7 linked regions of the Kluyveromyces lactis genome follow. The protein of the gene in region 6 purifies or fractionates together with the protein of the main gene of each other region. This does not show direct contact. Links are inferred from orthologs where the notes say so. Each region holds a gene or a part of one and is shown on either strand. Other genes may lie near its edges.

Region 1 (3,352 bases), about 640 kb from region 6:
ACTTGAGGCGCATGTTGTTGCATTCTCGCCTGTGCTTGCGCTTGTGCTTGTATGTGCGCTTGAGCTTGGGCTTGAGCTTGAGCCTGTGCTTGTGCTTGTGCTTGGGCTTGAGCTTGAGCTTGTGCTTGAGCCTGTGCCTGCGCTTGAGCCTGTGCTTGTTGCTGCTGTTGTCTTAGTTTCTGCTGCTGTAATTGGTTGAATGCCTGCTGTTGTTGCAACATCTGTAGCTTTTGTTGCTGTTGCTGTTGCCTCTGTTGATGCGCAGCAATTATTGCGGCTCTATCCATATACTGAGGGCTCTGTCTACTAGCACTCGCCTGAGCTAAAGACTCATCGGCCATTGTAGGGGATCCACTTGGCACATTTTGCGGCGTTCCACGCTGCGATAACATCTGCTGTAAAGAAGTAGTGCCGGCGGGAGACTGCGTCGGTGCTACATTGGCTGTATTCATAGGAATTGGTCCTGCGGCTGGAGAAAACATGGATTGTGGAGAGATAGAGACTCCACCGTTCTTCATCGACGGAGGTGAATTGACAGTTGAGAATGAATTTCTAGCCAATATAGCCTGGGGCGTTACGCCTGCGTTAACATCTTCCATCGGCCCTAAATTACTATCAGGTATACCTTGCTGGTTGGGTGCGCCTGAGTTATCAAGGAAGGAAAGGTACTCATCACCGTTCGAACCTCCTTGACCGAAAAGCTGGCCATCGCCAGAATTCATTGGATCACTCTCGTCCGGGAACAAAAACTGATCGTCCATCCGTATGTACCAATAAAGTTACCGTTTGACCCTTGATATCAGGGGAGAGAAATCACGCCTAAATAAAACCTAAAACAAGGGAATTATATTCATTCTGAAAGTAGTGATAGTCAAGTGTCAATTGAATTCATTGAATACAATTTCGAGTTTCCTTTCGTTGTTTTGTTTTTGGAAAGACAAGAAAATTCCAGGTCACGTGATTTTGTCAATTATTCTATATCCGGGTAATACATTCGATCACGTGTATAACTTACCCGGCCGCGGCCGGGTAAGTAAAATATATTTCCCATTCTGCTTTTCTTTTTCAAGCTCATCGCTCTTTTTTTTTTGTTTGGAAAATTTTCATTTCGAAGCCAATAAAGAGAGATGAGCTTTCTGACCAGTGAATATATTGTATATTGTGTTATGTGCACAGCGATATTTCAATTAATACTTGTCTGTATTATCTTGAGTTTTGTTCATTCATTCCGAAGTTAGTGTGTGTTGAAGAGTCCAGATCAAAGAGATTTTACGGTAGCGAGGAAACTTTATTGATCAGAGAATTAAATAATGGCTCCTATTGAATATCTTTTGTTCGAAGAACCTACCGGGTATGGTATCTTCAAAGTGAAATTGCAACAGGATGATATCGGATCTCGTTTGAAGGAAGTCCAGCAACAGATCAATGATTTCGGCTCTTTCACTAAGTTAGTTGAGTTGGTTTCTTTTGCTCCTTTCAAAGGTGCTGCTCAAGCTTTGGAAAATGCTAATGATATTTCTGAAGGTTTAGTCTCTGAACATTTGAAAGCTTTGTTGGATTTAAATTTACCAAAGGGTTCTTCTAAGAAGACTGTTACTTTGGCTATTTCTGATAAGAACTTAGGTCCATCCATTAAAGAAGTTTTTCCATTTGTTGATTGTATTTCTAATGAGTTAGCTCAGGATTTGATTCGTGGTGTTAGATTACACGGTGACAAATTATTGAAAGATTTACAACCTGGTGATTTGGAAAGAGCTCAACTTGGTTTGGGTCATGCTTACTCTCGTGCTAAGGTTAAGTTCTCTGTTCAGAAAAACGATAACCATATCATTCAAGCCATTGCTCTCTTGGATCAATTGGATAAGGATATCAACACTTTTGCCATGAGAGTGAAGGAATGGTACGGTTGGCATTTCCCAGAGTTGGCAAAGTTAGTCCCAGACAATTACAAGTTTGCTAAACTCGTTCTATTCATTAAGGATAAGGCATCTTTGAACGAAGAATCCTTGCACGATTTATCGGAAATTTTGGATAACGATGCTGGTATCAGTGAAAGAGTGATCGATAACGCTCGTATCTCTATGGGTCAAGATCTTTCTGAAACTGATATGGAAAACGTTACCATCTTCGCTAAGAGAGTTGTCTCCCTTGTTGAATACAGGAAACAATTATACGATTACCTATGTGAGAAGATGCACACTGTGGCTCCAAACTTGTCCGAATTGATCGGTGAAGTTATCGGTGCTAGATTGATCTCTCATTCTGGTTCTTTGACCAATCTTTCTAAGCAAGCTGCCTCTACTGTCCAAATCTTGGGTGCTGAAAAGGCATTGTTCAGAGCTTTGAAGACTAAAGGTAACACACCAAAGTATGGTTTGATTTACCACAGTGGTTTCATCGCTAAAGCTAGTGCTAAGAACAAGGGTAGAATCTCTAGATATTTGGCTAACAAATGTTCTATGGCTTCTAGAATCGATAATTACTCCGATGAACCATCTAACGTTTTCGGTCAAGTGCTAAAGAAACAAGTTGAACAAAGATTGGAATTCTATGCTTCTGGTACCCCAACTTTGAAGAATGAATCTGCTATCAAGGAAGCCATCGAATTGTACAATAAAGATAAGCCAGCTCACGAAGAAGAAGTGGATACGACTGAAGTCTCCAAGAAGAGAAAGCTAGAAGAATCTAACGATGAAGAAGACTCTGAACAAGAAGAGAAGAAGGAAAAGAAGTCTAAGAAGGACAAGAAGGACAAGAAGGACAAGAAGGAAAAGAAGGAAAAGAAGGAAAAGAAAGAGAAGAAAGAGAAGAAGGATAAGAAGGAAAAGAAGAGTAAGAAAAATAAGGATTAGGTTGTGTCAACTTTTCAATCATTTTCCGAAGATTGATCGACTTTATTATTATTTTTTTTCATCATATTTCAGTTTAAACTCGTCACTTTACATTTAACTTTTCACTTTTACATTATTAAGTCATTCCGGTTTCTCATAATTATAAAGCTCTTAATTGCACCTTTAACGCTCCTACTTGTATCCTAAGACAATAAGGAAAACCTCGTGTCTACAAACATGCAACTCATCATTTAACCATTGTTACATATTACATCTGTATATCACCCAAATCATATTTTAATTAGAATACTAGACAATTATCGTCACTAAAAAACAGAACGGGTGTAATCCCAATATTTGATTAAAGACACGTTAAATATATAACCCGCCTTGAGTTGTGGTACATTCGTCAAGTTTCCAAAGCTTTAAGCATTCCGATACATAGTACTCTGTCTGTGACGGGTACGAGCAAAGTAATTTCGACATTTCATCTACTAAAGCATCAACGGTAGGGAAATTAT
Region 2 (3,628 bases), on a different chromosome or scaffold from region 6:
TAATTGTGTTCCAGAGATAATAAAATGAGACATGTACAACTCATAGAGGGGCTGTTGAGTCATAGGAATAATTGACCGTTTCTAATACGTTTTAAAATTGGGAAGGTATTTATACGTATACATGCAGAAGGCTATATCTGTACACTGTTCTTAAATACGGCAATCCAATATGATACTTCACGAAGTTTCATTGACACATCATAGAGTCAATGAATAGTTATATTCATCCTCCACATTTTGTCCAATCCATAACATGGTGCAACTTAGAAGAATAGCCAGGTTTGCAAGCACATTGTTAATTCCCATTCCTAAGGTTGGATAGGAGGTATAATCCTTCAATAAAAACTTAACAATCAAAACGACCAAAGAACCGGAAATGCCGCTTGCTAACAGTGAAAATCCTAGGAAAAGTACTACTCTGGCCTGCCATGCAGTAGATTGAGATCCGGTGAACGTTCCTGAGGATAAAGCGTCTTGTAGCAATCTATTTTTTTCGATAGAACTCACAATTGCCATCCCAAGCACACTGCATAGCATTGGCACCCAGTCAATAAATGAAATGTGCAAATCTGAACCATTTGCATGCTTGGAGTACAACACACAATCTAAGAAGGACCAGAGACCCGCACCGTATAAGGCACCAGCTACATAAACGCACACCTTTTTGGCCGATACCGAAGTTGGCAACTTGAAGGGCAAACGAAACAGTCTTTCATGTGAGGTGTCCATTGTATTAGGCGTGTAAGCTGTTCAATCTAAAAAATAACCGTTGTATTTACCCTGTAAGTTAAAACAAGATGTTCAGCAACAAATAGAGCCAGCAGTCCCGTTGACTTTTACTTTAGTACCTTTAAATATATTCTTCTTTAAAGCTCACACTTGTTGGATTTCCTTTATTTTCCTATGAAATAATATGGGAGAATATCATGCAGATACAAATAATACGTTGCAGATTCAGCTTGCAGGTGAGTAAACGACGATTGTGTGATTTCTAACTGAGTACTAAACCCAACAATTATCTGTGGGAAGCCCATATTACCGTTTTTGAGGCTTGCCTACATCTTGCGCCTTCGAAAGACGTCCGCGCACAGACTACAAACGGTATAACCAGGACCTGTTTCTCTGCGTTAGCGGTCACGTGTTTGAATTTCTTTTTCATCATGTTCTGATCGAAAACCATGGAGCGAAAGTTTTACAAACTGAAGCCCATCGCATCTCATCGAATCTGTATCAATGAGAAAGAGGAAAGATTAGCATCAAGGGAGGCTTTCATTGCTATTTAACTTGGGCAATCGTATCCTGTTGATTATTTTTCCTCAAAGAACAGTTTAACATAAGTGAACCAAGTTTCTTATACATAAATGCCTAGAAAGAAATCTGCTGCCAAGAAGGCTAGAGAAGCCATCAAGAAGCAAGAGTCAGTTGCAGTGAAGGGCAGTTCAACGAAGGTTCCAACTACCGACGTTGAAGGCAAGAATACCGAGGTCATAAGTGTGAAAACTGGGTCAAAGCATGATGTCACTGCTTCTAAAGAGGTTCCTGCTGAAGTAGACGATGACGATGAAGATAGTTCGACCTCAGAAGAAGAAGATGATTATGGTGAATTGATCACTGAAGAAGTAGAAGAAGGTATTCAAAAAGTCTTAGATGCTATTAAAAATAATGAGACTGATAAACTATTGAACCCGGGAGTGAAATTTTTCGAAGAACCCGAAAAGGCAGTTGAAAAATTGGCAAAGACTGAGAAACATAAACCCGTCTATTTGAAAGATTATCATAGAATGAATCTTTTAAATGGTAACGTTAATGCCGATGATGATGAGGATTTGGAATTTGAAACGGTGGATGGTAAACAGTCTTTTGCTTCGCATCAAAGAGAAGAGAGAAACCAACTTTTGAGTGAGATCAAGGATGCGTTCAATGGCGATGACGATGCAGAAGAAGGAGACGAAGAAGAAGACGGCTTCTTGAAGAAGAAGGAGCCACAAAATAAAAGGGAATCCGAAGTCAAATTACCGAATCCAAAAGTTGATGACGAAAAGTTTTTGGAGGAGTTTGTTAACCAACAGGCGTGGATTCCAAAGAAAGGCGATAAAGTGATTAATTTGGACCGTCGTGGTACCGACATCGAAGAAGATGAGGACTTTGACGATGCTGTCGAGCAATTTGAAAATGCTTATAATTTCCGTTACGAGGATCCAAATGCTGCAGAAATTGTTTCTTATGCACGTACACAAGCTACACTCAGAAGATCTGCAACCTCATCTCGTAGAAGAAAGAGAGATGAGGAAAAGGCTATTAAGGATAAAGAGGAAGAAGAGAAGCAAAAGGCAGTCCAAAAGAAAAAGAAGGAAAAGGTTAACCAACTTACTGATGTTTTAGAGCAAGTAAAGAAAGAATATGGTGCTGATATCAAAGAAGAGCATGTCAAAGCCTTAACCGATACCTTAATAAACGGAAACTTCGAAGATGGGAAATGGGATGAAGTCATCGGTACCATCTTTAACGACGAATTCTACAACCAGGAAGATAAACCAACATGGGATGAGAATGACGATATCATGGGAGAGTTTTATGCTGAACAGGAAACCGAGGATCATGCGGAAGACGATGAGACCTTGGCATCAGACTCTGGAGAGCCAAAAAAGAAGAAATCAAAGAAGGACAAGATACAAGAGAAGAGAGACAAAAAAAAAGATAAGAAGCAGTTACATGAGATGGTAGAAAAAGCAGTCGACGAACGTAAGGTAGACATCATAGAGCAGGTGGAAGAAGAAAGAGGACGTTCGACAGAGAAAAATTCTGAAGTTAAGTTTAGATACCGTGAAGTGTCTCCAGAATCATTCGGATTGACTACGCGAGAAATATTCACAGCTGATGACGCCGATCTAAATGAGTTTATCGGCTTGAAGAAGTTTGCACCATATAGACCAAAAGAACTGACGTCAAAGGATAGAAGAAAGGTTACTAAGAGCAGGCGACTAAGGGAATGGAGAAAGAAAGTTTTCAATACCGAAGAAGGCCTCACCGGTGATGAATTAGCAATTCCTCTGAACGACGGTGAAGCTCATCAAACCTCTAAAGAAAAGGAAAGATTGAAGAATAAGAAGAGAAAGAGAAGAGATTAAAGATTAACTTATTCAGCATTATTTAGTTAACTTACATATAAATATTATTGTAATCATCAAATTCCATCCTAATGTTGCTGCCGAGAGGAAATTAAACTTGGTTACAGTATCCTTTCTTGCCACATATTTGCATTATTCTTTGTCCTTGTATACTGTGCTAAGATTTCTGCCATACTAATTCTTTATTTATATTACCCTGCCAAACACGAACCAAATCTTTGAAAGGGAAAACGCGTAACTTATTCATAATCTTCTGAAGAGAGGATATGAGCTTTGTGAATGGCAAAACTGATATTCAATGGAGGATAACCAAGAACTGGGTTATCTTCGGCAGAAGGAGTCAATAAACAGAAGCTAAAGAAAACTGACACAATGACCAGTACGTTACGATGTTTTTCCGAAACTATTTATTTAGGTTCAGTCTTGTTCCCATTACTAACACTTTCAATAAAACTAATCACCACTCCTCCTTTATCCAGCTTATCATCCATATAATGAAT
Region 3 (2,832 bases), on a different chromosome or scaffold from region 6:
ATGGTTGTTATTGATATATATAAGTTATATATAGTATGTGATAATAATAATAATATATCTACAAATTAAATGTACAAAATAAGGTTAAGAGTGTTCGAGTATTAATACCGTTATTGTGAAAATGGGTTCTTTTGTATTGTCAAGTTGATGAACAAGGTTTTGAAATCTTCTTCTATTCTTTTCCCGTCAGTTAGTCGATCTCCTTTGAACAGGCGAAGGACCTGGACTGTAAGTAAAAGAAACACACAGAGTGACAAAATACAAGTGAAGACGAAGTGGAGACTTTTCTAGTTTGTAGAACTTTATCACGAATCAATGAGATGCAAAATTTCAAATAATATTATAGTGTTAATGATTGTATTGGAATGAAGGTTTTTAAAACTAAAAAGTAAGCAAAAAAAGATTAGAAGCCAAAAAAAAAAGATTAATAGAAGGAATCATGAACCAAGTAGGCATACTCTAGCATTGGTTTCAAAATATCAATATTTCTTTAGCAGCTCTTATAATCCACTTCTCATGTATTTACCGATAACGATACAATGGTCTCTTTCATAAGGTTCCAAAGTCAATTGTTCCAAAGGCTTAATCTTTTCTTCTCTCAATTTTTGAACTTCTCTAGCGAACACAGTTTCAGCATCAACAGTAGAATCGATACAGTTAGCCTTGATAGAGATAACGACACCACCTTGATCCTTCAAGAACATATGAGAGTTCAAAGCAATAATACGGGCTTGATCAGGTTGAGCAACATCTGCGAAGACGGCGTCAACCATACCGATAAGCATTCTGTATTTTTGTGGATGTCTAGCATCTTCAATAATTGGGATAACATTTGGTCTCTTCTTAGCCATAGAGATCAATTCTCTACCTGGTCTGTGAGAGAACTCAACAGCGTAAACCAACCCTTCTGGACCAACGACATCGGAAACGTGGGACACAGATGTACCGGAAGCAGCACCTAGATATAGAACCTTCTTACCTGGAGCAATGAATAGTTCATCCAAACCACCCATGATACCGGCAGCCAATTTGGATCTGAAAGGATTCCAAACACGGTATTCCACCTTAGTTGGTGGGACACCTTCTTCAGTGGAAGGTTCTTCAACTGAAACTCTCTTTTCACCGTACACAGATTCACCTGGAGCGATGTTCTTTGTGACCAAAAGATCTTCTTTACCTCTGGCAATAAAAACACCAGCATGCTTATGAGGTTCGATAACAACCTTAGCACCACCACGGGCACCACCACGAGCACCACCACGAGCACCACCACGAGGACCACCTCTGGAACCACCACGGGCACCACCAAATCCACCTCTGGAACCACCGCGAGCGCCACCACGAGGACCACCACGACCACCACCGAATCCACCTCTGGAACCACCACGGGAACCACCGAATCCACCACGGCCACCGCCAAATCCACCTCTGGAACCACCTCTGGAACCACCGCCGAATCCACCACGGGAACCGCCTCTGCCACCTCTAGAACCTGCTTGGAATGCCATTATTATTCTTAACTAGTTGGGAATTATCTGTCTTGAGATATAATGATTATGCTGCTGTTGCTGCTCTTGATCTTCTTCTCTCTAAATTGGACAAAGGAAAAAAAAAGAATTAAAATTGTGAATCAGTAACAGGTATTGTCGTTGACTTTGAAACAGAATCCTGGACGGCTGTAAAACTCTTCTAAAATGGGTAGATTATAGGAACAGAAAACGTACACAATACTATTCTATAAACAATTGATTACTTCTTTCAAGCAAGAACAACTTAATAAACTCTTACTTTACATTCGATGAGATGAGCTTTCGAAACTTTTTTTTTTCAGCTGAAAAATTTTGAATGAAAAAACAATATTAAATTTCTTTTTCAAAGTTCTCATCTTTGGTCTTTCTGTGCCTCTTGGTACGTACAGAACGATGAACGTTAAAGTCACATGACTATTGTCACATCTGTATCACGTGATATGAATTGATTATATAATCATATGAATCTACAACTTTTCAAGATTTTTTTTTGCTATGTTGAGCCAGATACTTGCTACAATGCGTACGTTTACTAAGGATTTCTATACAAGTTTTTCATAGTCAACATTGCGAAAATATGCAGATGAGATCATTTTTGGTTGTTGTTGTGAATATCGGTATCTTTATAAAAGCAGATAAAAAATCAGAGAAGTGGAACCAGCTTTGACTTTTGTACGTTATAGCAATCAGAATCTGAATTAGTATATCTGGATAAATTTTCTGGTTTAGTTTTGAGATCCTATTTTCCAAACTATCGCTGTATATTTTAATCCGACAGTTGAAGATATTACCTAGATAAGTGTCCCTTTATGTCTGCATCCAGTTCAATTTTTATTAAATCACGCTCAAAGAGCTTAAAAGACGTCAAGTTGGAAGTTCCAACAGAAAATACGTTGACATATCAATCTGTTTTGCAACAGATTTCGAAAAGCAATCACAATATTAGCGTTAACAGGTTAAGGTTAAGCTATCTGAAAGAAGGTAAGCAAGTCGCCATTGGGCCCTCTGAATTGAACGATGTTGGTAAGAAAAACACGTTCGATTCAGTTAACGAGTGGTATGTTAAGGATTTGGGTCCGCAGATCTCTTGGAGACTGGTGTTTTTCATCGAATATTTGGGTCCGATCTTGATCCATTCTTTAGTTTACCTTTTGTCTTTAAACGCAACAGTTAGGGACAAATTTCATTCTAAAAATGTTCCATATAACGATTTCTTCAATAAGTTCATCTACCGTCTGATTATGGTCCATTATCTAAAGAGAGAATTCGAAACATTGTTCATTCATTCTTTCTCCCTGGAAAC
Region 4 (3,877 bases), about 600 kb from region 6:
TCGTCTGGTCTGGTCCTTAATTAAAGAATCTGACAGGGTATGATTTATTGGATGATCTTTTGGTTCTATTAGTGGAGATGGCTCTAGTGCATCCTTGCCCGAATATACGGACCAAATCCCATACCCTGTAGTATTTACAGACGGCAGCCCTAGAGAAAGGTTTAATTCGTGTAATGACGTGGTTGGTTTCCTGCTAATTCTTTCCAACCTGATTGTCTTGGAATGTAGCTTTGAGAATGCCAGTAATATAAGTTGTGAGTGAGTATCAGACTGCAACGAGTGGAAGATAATCGAGTGTCCCGGCATAATAGCAAAGTAGAACGGTTTGTGTGTATTGATAATAAGGTCGCCAGTTGATTCGAACAACTGAACTCGGCATATGTACATACTTAAATCATCGTTTTCCTCAATGTTAACATCCAATTCGTAAAGTCGTTTAAACTGTTCGCGCATACCATTGATAAGCTCATTCGGCTCCACATTTACGATAAATTGCTTTCCATCTCTATCCAAACATCTGGACGCTACCCATTGGTTAGTTGAAGTGTCACATAAAACAGACCAGATATCCAGTTGTGATAACTGTTCTCGAGATAAAGAAGGCCACCAACTCGTGACAGCCATATTAGCAATATTCCGTACCCCATGTTTTTTCACCAATTCAACTAAATTATCCGAGACCAGCTGTGAATCATTAATGGCATGTGTATCAAGCCAGGTAGTGATCAGTTTCACTATTGCCTGTGCACCGAGCCTAGCAAGTTTATTCTTTGTAACTGTAATATCTACATTATTATTGTCATTTCGAAGCGTGCGTTCCATCTTGGCCGTCCCAATAATATGCTGTTCACCGTCCATATAACACCATCATAAAAAGAACATAAGGATTAAGGGTCATCAAACCTTTCCATAGTTTCAGATTATAGTCGATGTTAAAATTCCATGCATTTTATATAGTATTGATTCTGACAAGAAAGTGAGAACAATCAACTAAATTGGTCTAACTGTCGTATAAGATTGACAGAATATCTTCATAGAACCAGGAAAGTTGTATTGCATCGGAGAACAGAGGTATTGAACAGCCGTATATGCCAGGAATATCCACACGTGATCTGTTCATCTCTTTAAATCTTACAGCTTTTCAGTCCGCTTGATTTCTTTTTGTCAAAAAATTTTAAAGCTCATCTCATCTCATCGCCCAAGAACCATTAGTATTGATATCTAGTATATATATAGTAGAAGGTTAATGAACACATTTATATACTTATTTTGTTAGCGTCTACATCAAACGACGCAGATTTGTGCTTAATATATCTGTGATGAGTGATAAGAAAGTTATTAAGGATGAAGGTCTTGATCTGAAGACGTTATTTGTTCGTGGTGTGCCGTTTGAGTCTACCGATGAAGAATTCGGTAACTTCTTCTCCCAATTCTCTCCTATCAAGCATGCTGTTATTGTCAAAGATGGTGAGGGTGCAAGCAGAGGATTTGGTTTTGTTAGTTTTGCAGTTGAAGATGATACTAAGACTGCTTTGAATCAGGCTAGAAAGACGAAGTTTATGGGACGTTTGTTGAGAATCGATATTGCCAAAAGAAGAGAACGTTCCCGTGGTAAAAAGGATGCGGATGAGGTATCATCAGCACCTTCCGTAGATAATGTTAAAGATGAGGAGGAAAGCAAACCCGAAGATGATAATGATTTAATGAAGGGTAAACCGAAATTAATTATCAGAAATATGCCATGGTCCTGTCGTGATCCGACGAAACTGAAGAAAATCTTCGGATTGTACGGTACCGTTGTTGAAGCTACGATCCCAAGGAAGAGAGACGGTAGATTATGTGGGTTTGCTTTTGTTACAATGAACAGGATCTCTAACTGTAAGGCTGCTATAGAAGGCACTAAGGATTTGAAGATCGATGGCAGGAAAGTGGCTGTTGATTTTGCAATTCAAAAGAACAGATGGGAGGACTATAAGAACGAACATAAGGAACTGGAAGCGTCTGATGAAGATGAGGAAGAAGAAGAAGAAGATGATGATGATGATGAGGATGATGGTTCTGATTCGGGTGAAGAGGACGCTGACAATCAGGACGACAAAGAAAAAGAAGAAAAAAGTGACATCGTCTTGGATTCTGATGAAGAAATCAGCGAAGAGGAGGAAACACCAGAACAGGATACCGTAAAGAAGAACAGAAAGGAAGATTTCTCTATTTTTGTGCGTAATGTTCCATACGATGCCACTCAAGAATCCTTAGAACGTCATTTCGGCGTGTTCGGCCCAGTAAAATACGCTTTGCCAGTGATTGATAAAGAAACTGGTTTGGCGAAGGGTACTGCTTTCGTTGCATTCAGAAGCGAAGATGCTTACAACGACTGTCTAAATAATGCTCCTGCTACAGGAAGTACATCCCTTCTAATAAGTGATGATGTTTCCCCAGAGTATGTTTATGAGGGTCGTGTTCTTGCAATTTCTCCAACTCTTGATAGAGAATCTGCTGGAAGAATGTTTGAGAGAAATGCCGAGAAGAGAAAAGAAGTTCTTGGTAAGGCACCAGGTGAAAAGGACAGACGTAATCTATATTTGTTAAATGAAGGTAGAATTGTTGCAGGTTCAAAGCTTTCACAGTTGTTAACTCCTGCTGATATGGAAGTCAGAGAAAAATCTTACAAGTTAAGAGTCGAACAATTGAAGAAGAATCCAACGTTACATCTTTCGATGACTAGATTGGCTATCAGAAATATTCCAAGAGCAATGACTGAGAAGGGTCTAAAGGCGCTAGCTCGTAAAGCTGTAGTAGAGTTCGCCAAAGAAGTTAACGAAAACAAGAGACACGCATTGAATAAAGAAGAAATCGTCAGATCTACTAAGGAAAAGTACAAGTTCATGTCTGAAGAAGAAATCGAAGCTCAAAAGAAGAAGGACAAGAAACAAGGTATTGTTAGACAATCTAAAATTATCATGGAAATTAAAGGATCTAGCGGTGGTAGAAGTAGAGGGTATGGTTTTGTTGAATTCAGGGATCATAAAGCTGCGCTAATGTGTCTAAGATGGTTAAATGCTCATGAAGTCAGTAGGGACGAAATCTTAGAAGGACTTACGGATGATGAAAAGAAACAGCTTGATGCAGACAGTTTCAAAAAAAGAAGACTGGTGGTCGAATTTGCTATCGAAAACGCTAACGTTGTGAAGAGAAGAAGAGAAAAGGTCAAAGAATCTAGATTGATATCTTTCAAGAGAAAAAGAGATGATGAAGAGAATAAAGAAGAAGAAAAAGTGGCTCAACCAGTAGAAGAGGAAACAAAATCTGGTCTAAGTAATAATATTAAACAGATTATTGGATCTAAACGTAGAAGAAAGAACAAGGGCCGTTCTTGAATGTAAACAATAGTCAAAGGCAAAAATTCAAAGCATTCCGAAGCAATGAAGTTTCTAGGATATAAAATCTGTATATTAAATAACATGCATTTCAATTATAGAATCATTTTCTCTTTTTCCGTGCTGATCCTCCGGTTGCAGTATTGCTTGTGGGGTTGTTTCCATTACCAGACACAGCAGCTGCAGCGGCAGCTGCCGCTGCTGCTGCCAAGATACGTTTGTTTACACCTAATCCGTTCATGTTCCCATTCTTATTATTATTGTTACCATGCATTGGTTGTTTTTGAGAGTGATTAGCTTGATTATTATCATTGCCGACATTCGTAATGTCGTTATCGTTTGTGTGAATGCGCCTTGGTGGGTATTTGTAGTTGAGACCCTCGAACACATTTTCACAGACAGGAGGGTCGCCGTTGGTGAAATAGACATGGTCTAAAGCGTCGATTGCATCGATTCTCTTGATAGGATCATACTGCAATAGACGGTAAAGAATGTCTAAA
Region 5 (4,139 bases), on a different chromosome or scaffold from region 6:
CAGCGACTAGTATATCTGCTCTAATAGAGGGTAATTTCATACTTCCGTTGTTAGATTTTAGAGAAGAAATAGTGTTCAAAAGACAAGAGGACAGAGTTTCCTGAGCGTAAAGTACAGGCAAACCACCATCATGGTCTAAAGTTTCCAAGTCGGACAAAAGGTTGAATAAGGCATTCAATAGATTTTCGTTACTCTTTACCTTCAATTTATCCAAAGTCTCCAGAATAATAGTCATTTTCTTTAGGTGGGCTTCGGCAATTTGAGAAATATCTTGTTTCTGTAGGGCGGACTTGTTAACCGTAGACGATCTTCTTCTTCTACGTTTAGTCAAATCTGTTTGATCTTCGCTGTTTATGGTATTACTTTTCAACACAGAGACAAAAATATCTGCAGTTAATGGAAGACTTTGAAGGGTTTCTAGACCATCATATGATAGTTCTTTGTCAACTGAGGAGTCTATTATACTCTGAACAATTTTTAATTGGTTTGGGAATTTCAATGTTGGATACAAAGATAAAATTCTGTCTGCCATGATATTCGAAAGTTGTTCATATTCTGATTCCAAACAGTTAATCAAAAAATCTATCGCGAAACTGTTTTTTTCTTTTGGTGCAACAATGGCACATACCGCAGTTTCGAAGTCTTTGAAATTGGTTTTATTTTTGATGCACTTCGTTTCCCAGGAACTTCTTTCCGTGATGTATGTGGCCATAAATTGTTCGAACACCTTTGAATATGTAAAAGCATATTGTGGCACAGCGGTCAAGAGCTTTAACATTATAGTCTTCGAATAGGCGAGAGGAAGATGCAGTGCCTGGTTGCACCAAAACAGCATATATACCATGTCATTTTTGGATGGAATGACGAGGGATGAAATATCTGTACTTTCAACGATGTAATCGCTTAAAAAGTTGGTCAACCAAAACTTGCTATCTTTCGGACTTAACATTGGCACCTTTAAATTCTCTCCGTAGAGTACGTTAGATAGGAAATACTTTGCTGTGAAAGGTCTCTTGGCTATCTGTTGTAGAACCTTTTTCGTGTTGGAACGAACAGATCTAGAAATATCCATCAATGCTGTCACTAGAATAGGTACCAAAGAGAAAAGATCCGTTTGCTCATCTATACCATTGATGAATTTGCTTAACTGTGTTAGTGAAATCAATCTGAGAGCAACAGGCGAACCAGGGGATACGATGATTCTGAGCACAAACGTTATCCTGCTCTCTAAAGTAGTGAAGAAGGAGGATAAAAATAGACCTGGTTGATATCCTTTACTTACAGCTTCCACAAATAATGACAACAGCTTGACAAACTTTTCATCTTTAACAAGAAGCATAGACTCCGCTTTAGTGGAGATGAACTCTGAGTTTTTGGTCATGAAATCTTTAAATGGAACAGCTGAACCATTCGCGGTTGATGCTTTAGCATCATCTAGAACTTTAATGATATCTTCACCAGATTGTTCCGCACTGTTCTTGACGGAAAATAATGAAGTTGTCAATCTTATTTCGAAAACTTCTCCGGTCAGGTTTAGTGCTTGAAGACATTTCAAAACTAGTCCCTCGTTAATGGAAATGAAGTATTCAAAAACATCGATTAATTGTGACTTGTCCTCTAGAACTTCAGATAAATGTATCAAATCAGTGATGATAAATCTAACTTCGTATTTTTCCAACTTAATCTTCCTTAAGATTTTGACAATTTGACTCAATTTATCATGATCATATCTGATGACAGACCTAATGTATGCAGTGAAAAATTTATCTGAGGAATATTTGTTTTCATTACTCAGGAACTGTAGTAGATATTCGAATGGGAAAGAATTATCAACGAGTTTATAGATCTTGACCGGTAATTGATCCACATTACCTACACCTTTCAAGGTTTGGAAAAGTTTTGAGATTGTGACGAGAGCTTTTTTTCTAGCATCGTCTTCCTTTAAATTGGCCAAGATAGTTTCCGTAGCCGCAATGATAATGCTTTTGTTCAAAGGCAATGCGGTGGCAAGTACCGCGAGCATAGTATGAGCAGCCATTTGACAATCGCTTGAATCCGATGCCAAAAGTTTTGCGGAAATTTCCAAAATCAATGGGACCAATTTATTTAACTTATCTTCATCGTTCGCATTGAAAGCGATCACGTTAATGAAACAACATGTGGTAAATAGCAGTTGATTCGTATAGGTAACTTTTTGCTTGATAATCTTGGACAGATAATTTGAATAAAGCTTCAAGAAGTCCATATCGTTAAACAATTTGATCAACGTCAAATCGGTTGGATTCTTATCGTTTCTGACAAAATTGGTAAATGGGTTGAACAAAGGTGGTAGCTTAACGATATTGAGGATCCTTTTGAACACCGGCGTTTGGTATTGGTTCAAAGTAGATAGAAGAAGCATTTCGGCGTTATGGATATGAATTTGGAACCTACGAATCAACCATTCCGTAGCATGCAAAGCTGGAGTTAGATGCCATTTCGGCGAAATCAACATCAAATACGCATTAACTGCGTTATCCAAATCTCTAATCTGATCCTTTGTTTGAACGTTTCTATCAATGGTCACGGAAGATGCACTGAATAAGGAATTAGTGAAAACTTTGAACCTCAAGTCCAAACTCACCAAAGTATGAAACGATTCCAACGCTGTATCGTATATATACTCATAGTCCTGAGTAGCAGCAGTCTTCGGATTGTAAACCAAAGACGCAGAATGTAACTTTTGTCTTCTCTTTCTATCAAGAGCAACAGTAGCGTTATTCTGCGCTACCTGCGCTAATTGATCACGTAAAGATGACATTCTATATCGTCTCTGCCGTTGCCTGGAGTACTAGCAAGTCGAACCTGATCAAAAATCTATCGCCAGGAGATGATTGCAAAGCCAACGATTTGAACCTCATCTCATCTCATCTCATCGCTACTTTTTTTTTCTTTCACTCTTTAAAATTTTCGATTTGTTCATGCTGCGGTGAAAAGAAATTCATTTATGGTCACGTGTATGAAAATGGAGTGATACCATAAACTTGGGTCAAGTCTCCCCGTAGCTCAATATGCAAGCTACTGGTCAGTTTCCACCTGCTTTCGGATCTATTGAAGTACATACAGACTTAAGAGTTGTTTCAATACATCATGTGCCGTGCAAGGTCACACTACAAGTAATGGCTAGTTTCTGAGGAATTTCGGATCTCAGCCAACCGTATAAGCATGTTTGGCATAAACAAGGCTCATAGCAGCTATCTACTTAGCAATGCCTCAACGTTTCCATTTGAGGGTGTGTGTGAGTTGTGTGCGTTGGGCCTGCGTTCAGACTGGCTTTTCAGCAAAGGACCGGCTCATATAAGAACAAAAGAAAAACACACCTGGCTGGAGCGATGTGGTTATGCGGCGATGTCTCTGCGATTAAACTTAGATCCGAGATCTAGGCGGATGGTTCGTCCGAACCAATCTCAATGCAAAGGCTTGGGTGAACTGCAAAAATGTTTTCTTCTGGTAAACAAACTACTTTTTCGGAAGTTTGAGGCTGAGCACCTTCCTTACCTTAGTTTGCATTATGTAATTTACCGCATTATAAATTTTGTACCGTTTATTTTATATATAGGCAACGACAGGTTTAAGGAACCTTCTATCAAGATTGAATAGCGATGAGCTTAGGGGTTACAACTTGCGGAGAGATTGTTTATCCAAATAACGACATCAGTTATTGAGCCATTAATAATTCAGTCATGAAGTGTAGTACTTTGTTGTTATCTTTGGCTTTAGCTTTAGATTCCGTTTCTGCACGCGAAGGGTGCGATAAGAAATTGAGAGAGTCCTCTCATAAGGAGAAAGAGTTCAACCTAACTCGTGAATACGCTGCTGAGGTTGCTAGAGGTGTTGTTAAGTATGGTGACTTGGTTCATGTTTCTACTTTGAAGGATGGAAAGACTCCGGTGACTTTCCCAGAATACTATGTATCTTCTGATTTATGTGAGGGTGTGAATTCCACAGGTAACCCAATCTTGGTCTTGATGAACGTTTCCTCCACTTTGAGAAACTATCAGGATAACGGCAAGCTTTCTATTACCGTGGAGGACAGAAGGCCCAGACATCACGCTATGAGTTCTCCTCGTGCCAATCTTTTCGGTTCGTTGAAGAAACTT
Region 6 (3,076 bases):
GAGGTTATCAAAAAGAAGAAGGAAGACCTTGCATTTTTCAATGAGAAGTTTCAAAAAAGGTTGTTAGCGATGAAACGTGAAATAGATAAAAATGCTGACATGTATCATAATGAACTACAAAGCTACAGGACTAATTACGAGAAAACTTTAAGTAGTGCCTTAAAAGTTACTCTTAAAGCAGAATCTGCGCTTAGTGCCATATACAGCAATAATGTGGATAGATTCGGGTCTACAAACCGGACTTTGAATTATTTTATGAAGAAAAGAGATATGTTCCAAAATATCAGAGACAATATGGTCTCCAACAAGCCCAAACCAGAATACAAACCTGCGATCACCATTACAAGTGTTAGTGATGGCATAGAAAATAAAGACAATAGAAACGAAGAGTTACACTACATATCAGAACAAAAACAAGGTTTTAATGATTCACTCCGTGAGCTTAAAGTAGCCAATGTGAATAGCAACTGTTCCTCAAGGTCGAAACACAACGCTAAACAAATTATACAAAAGCTCCGAGAGTGGAAGCAAAACCAAAACACATCAGAGCTATCGCCAGACAAAGAAGATTCCATATTTTCAACTGGAATTGAGACAGATTATTCAACTTCAAATATCGCACAGTTATCCACTAGGAACTGGGCTAGCGCTTTGAAGAACAACTATAACGCCAAGTACTTGGAATCTATCTGAATGAAAACAGCGTACTAAGTTAACAGAATTTAACCTAACATAATGAACATATTAGCAGCTAGTTTAGTCCATTAAATAAAAATGCAAACTCACTTCCTAGAAGGCTATAAAAACTACTCTCACTTGGCAATGCTATTTCCAATGTCTGTCATATATACTTAAACGTCAAGGTGAATATAATTCATTACCCGGAAATAATTGCTTTTTGAGATATCTGAAAATTTTCTACCTGAAGAAAAAAATTTGATGAAGACGATGAGATGAGATGAGCTTTAACAAGAAAAGTATAGAGTTCTATTAGAAGTAGATTCATCTTACTGGACTAAAAACTGTCACTTTAGTGTAGATTCTGCTTTACGATATTGTTGCTACTATCCTTTTATTGTTTTCTCTCGATATTTGAAGGAGATAGTGTACTGGATTGTTCGTTAGAAAGCTAATAAGTAAGATAGAGATCGATGTCTGACGAATTTGTTATTAAGCCAGAGAGTGTTTCACCATCTAGTAACACTAGTGAGTGGCCTTTATTGTTGAAGGACTATGACAAACTATTAGTCAGAAGTGGTCATTACACACCAATTCCAGCTGGTGCCTCTCCTTTGAAGAGAGATTTGAAGTCATATATCAGTTCTGGTGTCATCAATTTGGACAAACCTTCAAACCCATCTTCTCACGAAGTTGTTGCTTGGATCAAGCGTATCTTGCGTTGCGAAAAAACAGGTCATTCTGGTACTTTAGATCCTAAAGTCACTGGTTGTTTGATCGTCTGTGTTGACAGAGCTACCAGATTGGTCAAGTCTCAACAAGGTGCTGGTAAAGAGTATGTTTGTATCGTTAGATTGCACGATGCCCTTAAGGACGAGAAGGAATTGGGCAGAGGTTTAGAAAATTTGACTGGTGCTTTGTTCCAAAGACCTCCTTTAATTTCTGCTGTTAAGCGTCAATTACGTGTCCGTACCATTTATGACTCCAACTTGATCGAATTTGACAACAAGAGGAACTTGGGTGTTTTCTGGGCTTCCTGTGAAGCTGGTACTTATATGAGAACTTTATGTGTCCATCTTGGTATGCTTTTAGGTGTCGGTGGCCATATGCAAGAGTTGCGTCGTGTTAGATCCGGTGCTTTGTCCGAAAACGATAACTTGGTCACCCTACATGATGTTATGGATGCACAATGGGTATACGATAACACCAGGGATGAATCCTACCTAAGAAAGATCATTCAACCATTAGAAACTCTATTAGTCGGTTACAAAAGAATTGTTGTCAAAGATTCTGCTGTTAACGCTGTTTGTTACGGTGCCAAGTTGATGATTCCAGGTCTACTTCGTTATGAGGAAGGTATTGAATTATATGACGAAGTTGTATTAATCACCACCAAGGGTGAGGCCATTGCAGTTGCCATTGCTCAAATGTCTACTGTCGATTTAGCTACTTGTGACCACGGAGTTGTTGCCAAGGTTAAGAGATGTATCATGGAAAGAGACCTATATCCAAGAAGATGGGGTCTTGGTCCAATTGCCCAAAAGAAAAAACAAATGAAGGCTGACGGTAAGCTAGACAAATATGGCCGTGCCAACGAAAATACTCCAGAGACCTGGAAGAAGACTTACGTTTCATTGGAGAATGCTGAACCAACTACCGCCCCTGCATCCAAATCAGAAGAAAAACCACTGATCAAAGAAGTAGAAAAGAAGGAAGTCGAACAGAAGGAAGAATCAAAGGAAGAATCAAAGACACCAGAAGAAAAGAAGGACAAGAAGGAAAAGAAGGAGAAGAAGGACAAGAAGGAGAAAAAGGAAAAGAAGGAGAAGAAGGAGAAGAAGAGAAAGGCTGACGATGATGAGTCTTCCGAGAAGAAGAAGAAGAAGTCAAAGAAATAAACGACTACAATCTAAGTCCTTCATATCATCGATCGAAATTTCAAAACTGCATAGAGTTTATCATTTAGGTTATGTACACTGTAGAATATTTTTAATCATTGAAAAACGTATTTCGTCACGACTGTTTTTTGTACCCTGTGTCGATGTTGTATATCATTGTATTCGTATATATAAATTTGTAAATTATTTATGCGCGTGTGAAGACACCATTACGTCTTCAATTGAAGTAATGGCAAAAAGTAATGGTAAATGTATGAGGTAGATAGAAGATTTGATAATAATACTTGGAGTTTTTTTTTTTTTGGCAGACATCAATTGTTCGGAACCAAATAGAAGTCGGGAAACTTGCAGATTGGTATGTCTTTTATTTGCATGATGTCATTTGCTCAATAAAAAGGTAAATGAAGGTTAAAATCTATGCAAATGGTTACATTGTGAACAGAAGTCGAGGTGTCACAATGAAACGTCCCGTTTCTTACTTTACCAGTATTAACAATCAT
Region 7 (2,810 bases), on a different chromosome or scaffold from region 6:
GAACTTATGACCGTTTAACATTTTACCTCATCGAACCTTTGAATAGTAGGAACATCTATATCCAAATGCTTCAAGCGATCGCCAATAATGTATCCATCTACTTCTTTTGCCAGAATACAAGGCAAATCGCCAAAACTATCTCCAATATAAGTTATGCTCTGGTCCCCTTGCACTTTGTCTAAATCGCAAATCTCTTTCAACATCTCGTACTTGTCCCAACCGGTCAATATTTGCTTTGTAAATTGTCCGCTGTAAACTTCCCCATCACGTGATTTTAATTCGTTACAGTAGATATCCGATTTGGAAATACCCGTTAGGTCGTGTATGAGGTCCTTGGACCAGTTCAACGAAAGCACGTACGTCTTGTTATACTGCTGCATCAGCTCCTGTAATCCAGGTCTGATATCTACTTTTTCCTTAACGAGCTGCAGGAGATCTTTGATCACCACATCTTTAAAATGATCCTGCAATTCTAGTTCGTTGATTGAACTTAGCTCACACCTTCTGCTTGCACGTTCATAATCACAAACCACTTTCCAAGCATCAGGTGCCAAATTCTCTGGTTTTGGAATATAGCATTCCTCGTATATCTTGGTATAATGAGTCCATGCGACAGGTACTGATTTCAAATTGTAAACAGATTGCCCAATGATACTGGTGGTATCACTAGTGGTGATAGTGCCATCAAAATCAAGTACAAGAATCCGTTTCAACATAATTTTTTCTTAACACAACTCCGACCAGCCAATGTTTTATCTAGCGTGAAGGAACTGGTCTGCCATACTTGCCGAGTTTCCATTCAAGAGTTCAAGATTTAATGTGAAAGAACGATTTCATTTTGTTTGGGATTTAAACAAAGGCTATTCCTTAGTGGAGAAAAAAACTATTGAAAGGACAAGAATAGAGAGAGGTCTACATTGGGAAATTCTAAGAACACATTAAATATAATAAAAAGAATGTAATCAAGCTTCTATATTAAGTCCCCGTAGTAGTATCGTAGGGACCCAACTCAAACTGTTGATTTTGGTATTTCAGTCTATGCTCAGGCCCAATTATGATTCTCGAGGACAGAAATACTAACCGTTGAATAAAACAAGAGAAGAAAATCCTCTCAAGTCCAACACAGTAGTCTGAACCAAACGATGAGACCCAGCCGAGCAATAAGTTTATGATTGGTAGACTAAAAACGAAATCATATGTCAGAAAATATCATTCGAGATGAGAATATAAAGTGGTACATACGAGTTCAAAGTTCATTGAGTCCATTTGAATCTTTTTTCCCATAGTAAATAAAGTATTTCTTTTTGAAAAACTGAGCTGAAAATTTGGTGAAAAGAAGAGCTTTAGATGAGATGAGATGAGATGAGATAGTATACAGAGTATATCTGAACTGTAGAAACTATTACTGGCTCTGTTAATATCATAGAAATATAGCAACACAGCAATAAACAATATATTAAGATGTCGGAACACGTACCTGCTTGGAAAAGGTTCCAGATCAAGAAGTCAGAGGAAGGGAATCAGATCGATGATGAGCTAGACTCACTCATTGTGTCTACACATCTTTCCAACGGTTCACTTTCGAAGAAAGAGAAGAGAAGGATTATTAGAGGTGGCAATGCGGATAGTAAAAGCACTGGCAACAAAGTTGCAAAAAAGAGTAAAGACAGGAAAAGAGAGAAATTGGCCAAAGAGGATAGACTTAAGAAGAAGGAAACTGTGTTGAAGGATCAATTGAGGTATTTGATCGATTTCTATACATTGAAGTTGGAAGTGGAGCTGCCGGAAGCCGTGAAAGAGCTTCCTAGTGTAAAGGAAAACGTATCAATTATATCACCCTCTGAGGAATTAGCTGACAAAAACGTAGTAAGAGATGTATGGAAGTTCAGTAAACAGAAACAGAATTGGCTCATCAAACATTTCGTTATCACTGATGAGATCCCATCAGCATTCAACCCGCTATTAGTGAGATATTTCCAGGACTTACAGGGTGGTTCGAAGGCTCAGCTACAAGAAAGTTGTTTGGATGTTATCGAGAAGCAAAATAAATATCTAGAGCAGCAGAAAGAGGAAATGGCTAAGATTGTGCTGGGAGAAGCTACAGAAGCATCCAAAGATCAAGAGAAACAGAGCGCCGATGATGAGTCCAAGGATAAAGATGTCAAAACAGAAATGTCCAAAAAGTCTGACGAAAGTGAAGAGGATACAGCTAATAAAATAAACGAGATCCTACCACCTAGCCAAGAGCTACTGGAAAGAGTACGTTCCATGCTCGATACCTGGGGTGTTAAATATGAACTAAATAGCTGAATAGTGCGTGTAACTACTTTTTATCATTCAATAAAAGAAATGGTCACGTGATATTATCATCACTACCGCTCGGCGCCTTTTTCCCATTATCAGAAAAGGTTGAGTGATGGATGGATACATCTTAGAAGCATCATGACAATAGCAATGATCACGACGAGCGAATGCAGTACTTTCATTGACCTGGAACCAAGCCGGGCCATTGCAATTCCTTACAGTATTCATGCAATCAAATTACAGGGATAGTATACATTGTAATGAATCGAAATATCGAGACTGTAAATGAAGAAGGATCTTTTGTGGTTGATCTTCTGCGAAAGCCCTTTAAACTCCCGTCACGGTACGATGATCTCCCGTGGGAATCAATCGAGGAGTCAAAACTGACTGAAACAGATATATTGGATCGAAAACATGTTTTTCCGCTGCTCAAAGTAATGCCGATACGTCTCTTCACAACTGACATTGAACGAAGTGAAATGTTCGAATCTTTGAAACAATACTGT

The links.
Region 1: the proteins of CBF5 (region 6) and NOP56 purify together in Saccharomyces cerevisiae (affinity purification with mass spectrometry; 6 studies listed by BioGRID). This does not show direct contact. The link is inferred for Kluyveromyces lactis from reciprocal best matches to the Saccharomyces cerevisiae genes CBF5 and NOP56.
Region 2: the proteins of CBF5 (region 6) and KRI1 purify together in Saccharomyces cerevisiae (affinity purification with mass spectrometry; 3 studies listed by BioGRID). This does not show direct contact. The link is inferred for Kluyveromyces lactis from reciprocal best matches to the Saccharomyces cerevisiae genes CBF5 and KRI1.
Region 3: the proteins of CBF5 (region 6) and NOP1 purify together in Saccharomyces cerevisiae (affinity purification with mass spectrometry; 5 studies listed by BioGRID, with this or other methods). This does not show direct contact. The link is inferred for Kluyveromyces lactis from reciprocal best matches to the Saccharomyces cerevisiae genes CBF5 and NOP1.
Region 4: the proteins of CBF5 (region 6) and NOP4 purify together in Saccharomyces cerevisiae (affinity purification with mass spectrometry, with the first as the bait; 3 studies listed by BioGRID). This does not show direct contact. The link is inferred for Kluyveromyces lactis from reciprocal best matches to the Saccharomyces cerevisiae genes CBF5 and NOP4.
Region 5: the proteins of CBF5 (region 6) and UTP10 purify together in Saccharomyces cerevisiae (affinity purification with mass spectrometry; 3 studies listed by BioGRID). This does not show direct contact. The link is inferred for Kluyveromyces lactis from reciprocal best matches to the Saccharomyces cerevisiae genes CBF5 and UTP10.
Region 7: the proteins of CBF5 (region 6) and RBP95 purify together in Saccharomyces cerevisiae (affinity purification with mass spectrometry; 3 studies listed by BioGRID). This does not show direct contact. The link is inferred for Kluyveromyces lactis from reciprocal best matches to the Saccharomyces cerevisiae genes CBF5 and RBP95.

The regions. Positions count from the first base shown.
Region 1 is NC_006040.1:1,043,767-1,047,118, forward strand, and holds NOP56 (snoRNP complex protein NOP56), read left to right. Parts: upstream 1-1,310; coding exon 1,311-2,852; downstream 2,853-3,352. Other genes in the region: SWI1 (Swi1p), read right to left, coding at 1-761; PBA1 (Pba1p), read right to left, coding at 3,204-3,352. UniProt on the Saccharomyces cerevisiae protein: Required for 60S ribosomal subunit synthesis.
Region 2 is NC_006041.1:668,701-672,328, reverse strand, and holds KRI1 (Kri1p), read left to right. Parts: upstream 1-1,361; coding exon 1,362-3,128; downstream 3,129-3,628. Other genes in the region: VPS68 (Vps68p), read right to left, coding at 199-729. UniProt on the Saccharomyces cerevisiae protein: Required for 40S ribosome biogenesis. Involved in nucleolar processing of pre-18S ribosomal RNA.
Region 3 is NC_006039.1:400,097-402,928, reverse strand, and holds NOP1 (rRNA methyltransferase NOP1), read right to left. Parts: upstream 1,509-2,832; coding exon 501-1,508; downstream 1-500. Other genes in the region: trans-2-enoyl-CoA reductase (NADPH) TSC13, read left to right, coding at 2,339-2,832.
Region 4 is NC_006040.1:1,003,760-1,007,636, forward strand, and holds NOP4 (mRNA-binding ribosome biosynthesis protein NOP4), read left to right. Parts: upstream 1-1,319; coding exon 1,320-3,377; downstream 3,378-3,877. Other genes in the region: CHL4 (Chl4p), read right to left, coding at 1-858; cyclin-dependent serine/threonine protein kinase SSN3, read right to left, coding at 3,481-3,877. UniProt on the Saccharomyces cerevisiae protein: Required for 60S ribosomal subunit synthesis. Probably involved in the processing of 27S rRNA to produce mature 25S rRNA.
Region 5 is NC_006042.1:1,973,864-1,978,002, reverse strand, and holds the start of UTP10 (snoRNA-binding rRNA-processing protein UTP10), read right to left. Parts: upstream 2,801-4,139; coding exon 1-2,800. Other genes in the region: KLLA0_F21164g (uncharacterized protein), read left to right, coding at 3,723-4,139. UniProt on the Saccharomyces cerevisiae protein: Involved in nucleolar processing of pre-18S ribosomal RNA. Required for optimal pre-ribosomal RNA transcription by RNA polymerase I together with a subset of U3 proteins required for transcription (t-UTPs). Involved in ribosome biosynthesis.
Region 6 is NC_006040.1:408,154-411,229, forward strand, and holds CBF5 (pseudouridine synthase CBF5), read left to right. Parts: upstream 1-1,151; coding exon 1,152-2,576; downstream 2,577-3,076. Other genes in the region: KLLA0_D04774g (uncharacterized protein), read left to right, coding at 1-693. UniProt on the Saccharomyces cerevisiae protein: Catalytic subunit of H/ACA small nucleolar ribonucleoprotein (H/ACA snoRNP) complex, which catalyzes pseudouridylation of rRNA. This involves the isomerization of uridine such that the ribose is subsequently attached to C5, instead of the normal N1.
Region 7 is NC_006037.1:956,778-959,587, forward strand, and holds RBP95 (RNA-binding ribosome assembly factor RBP95), read left to right. Parts: upstream 1-1,461; coding exon 1,462-2,310; downstream 2,311-2,810. Other genes in the region: POL4 (DNA-directed DNA polymerase IV), read right to left, coding at 1-21; CTO1 (Cto1p), read right to left, coding at 15-716; KLLA0_A11088g (uncharacterized protein), read left to right, coding at 2,565-2,810.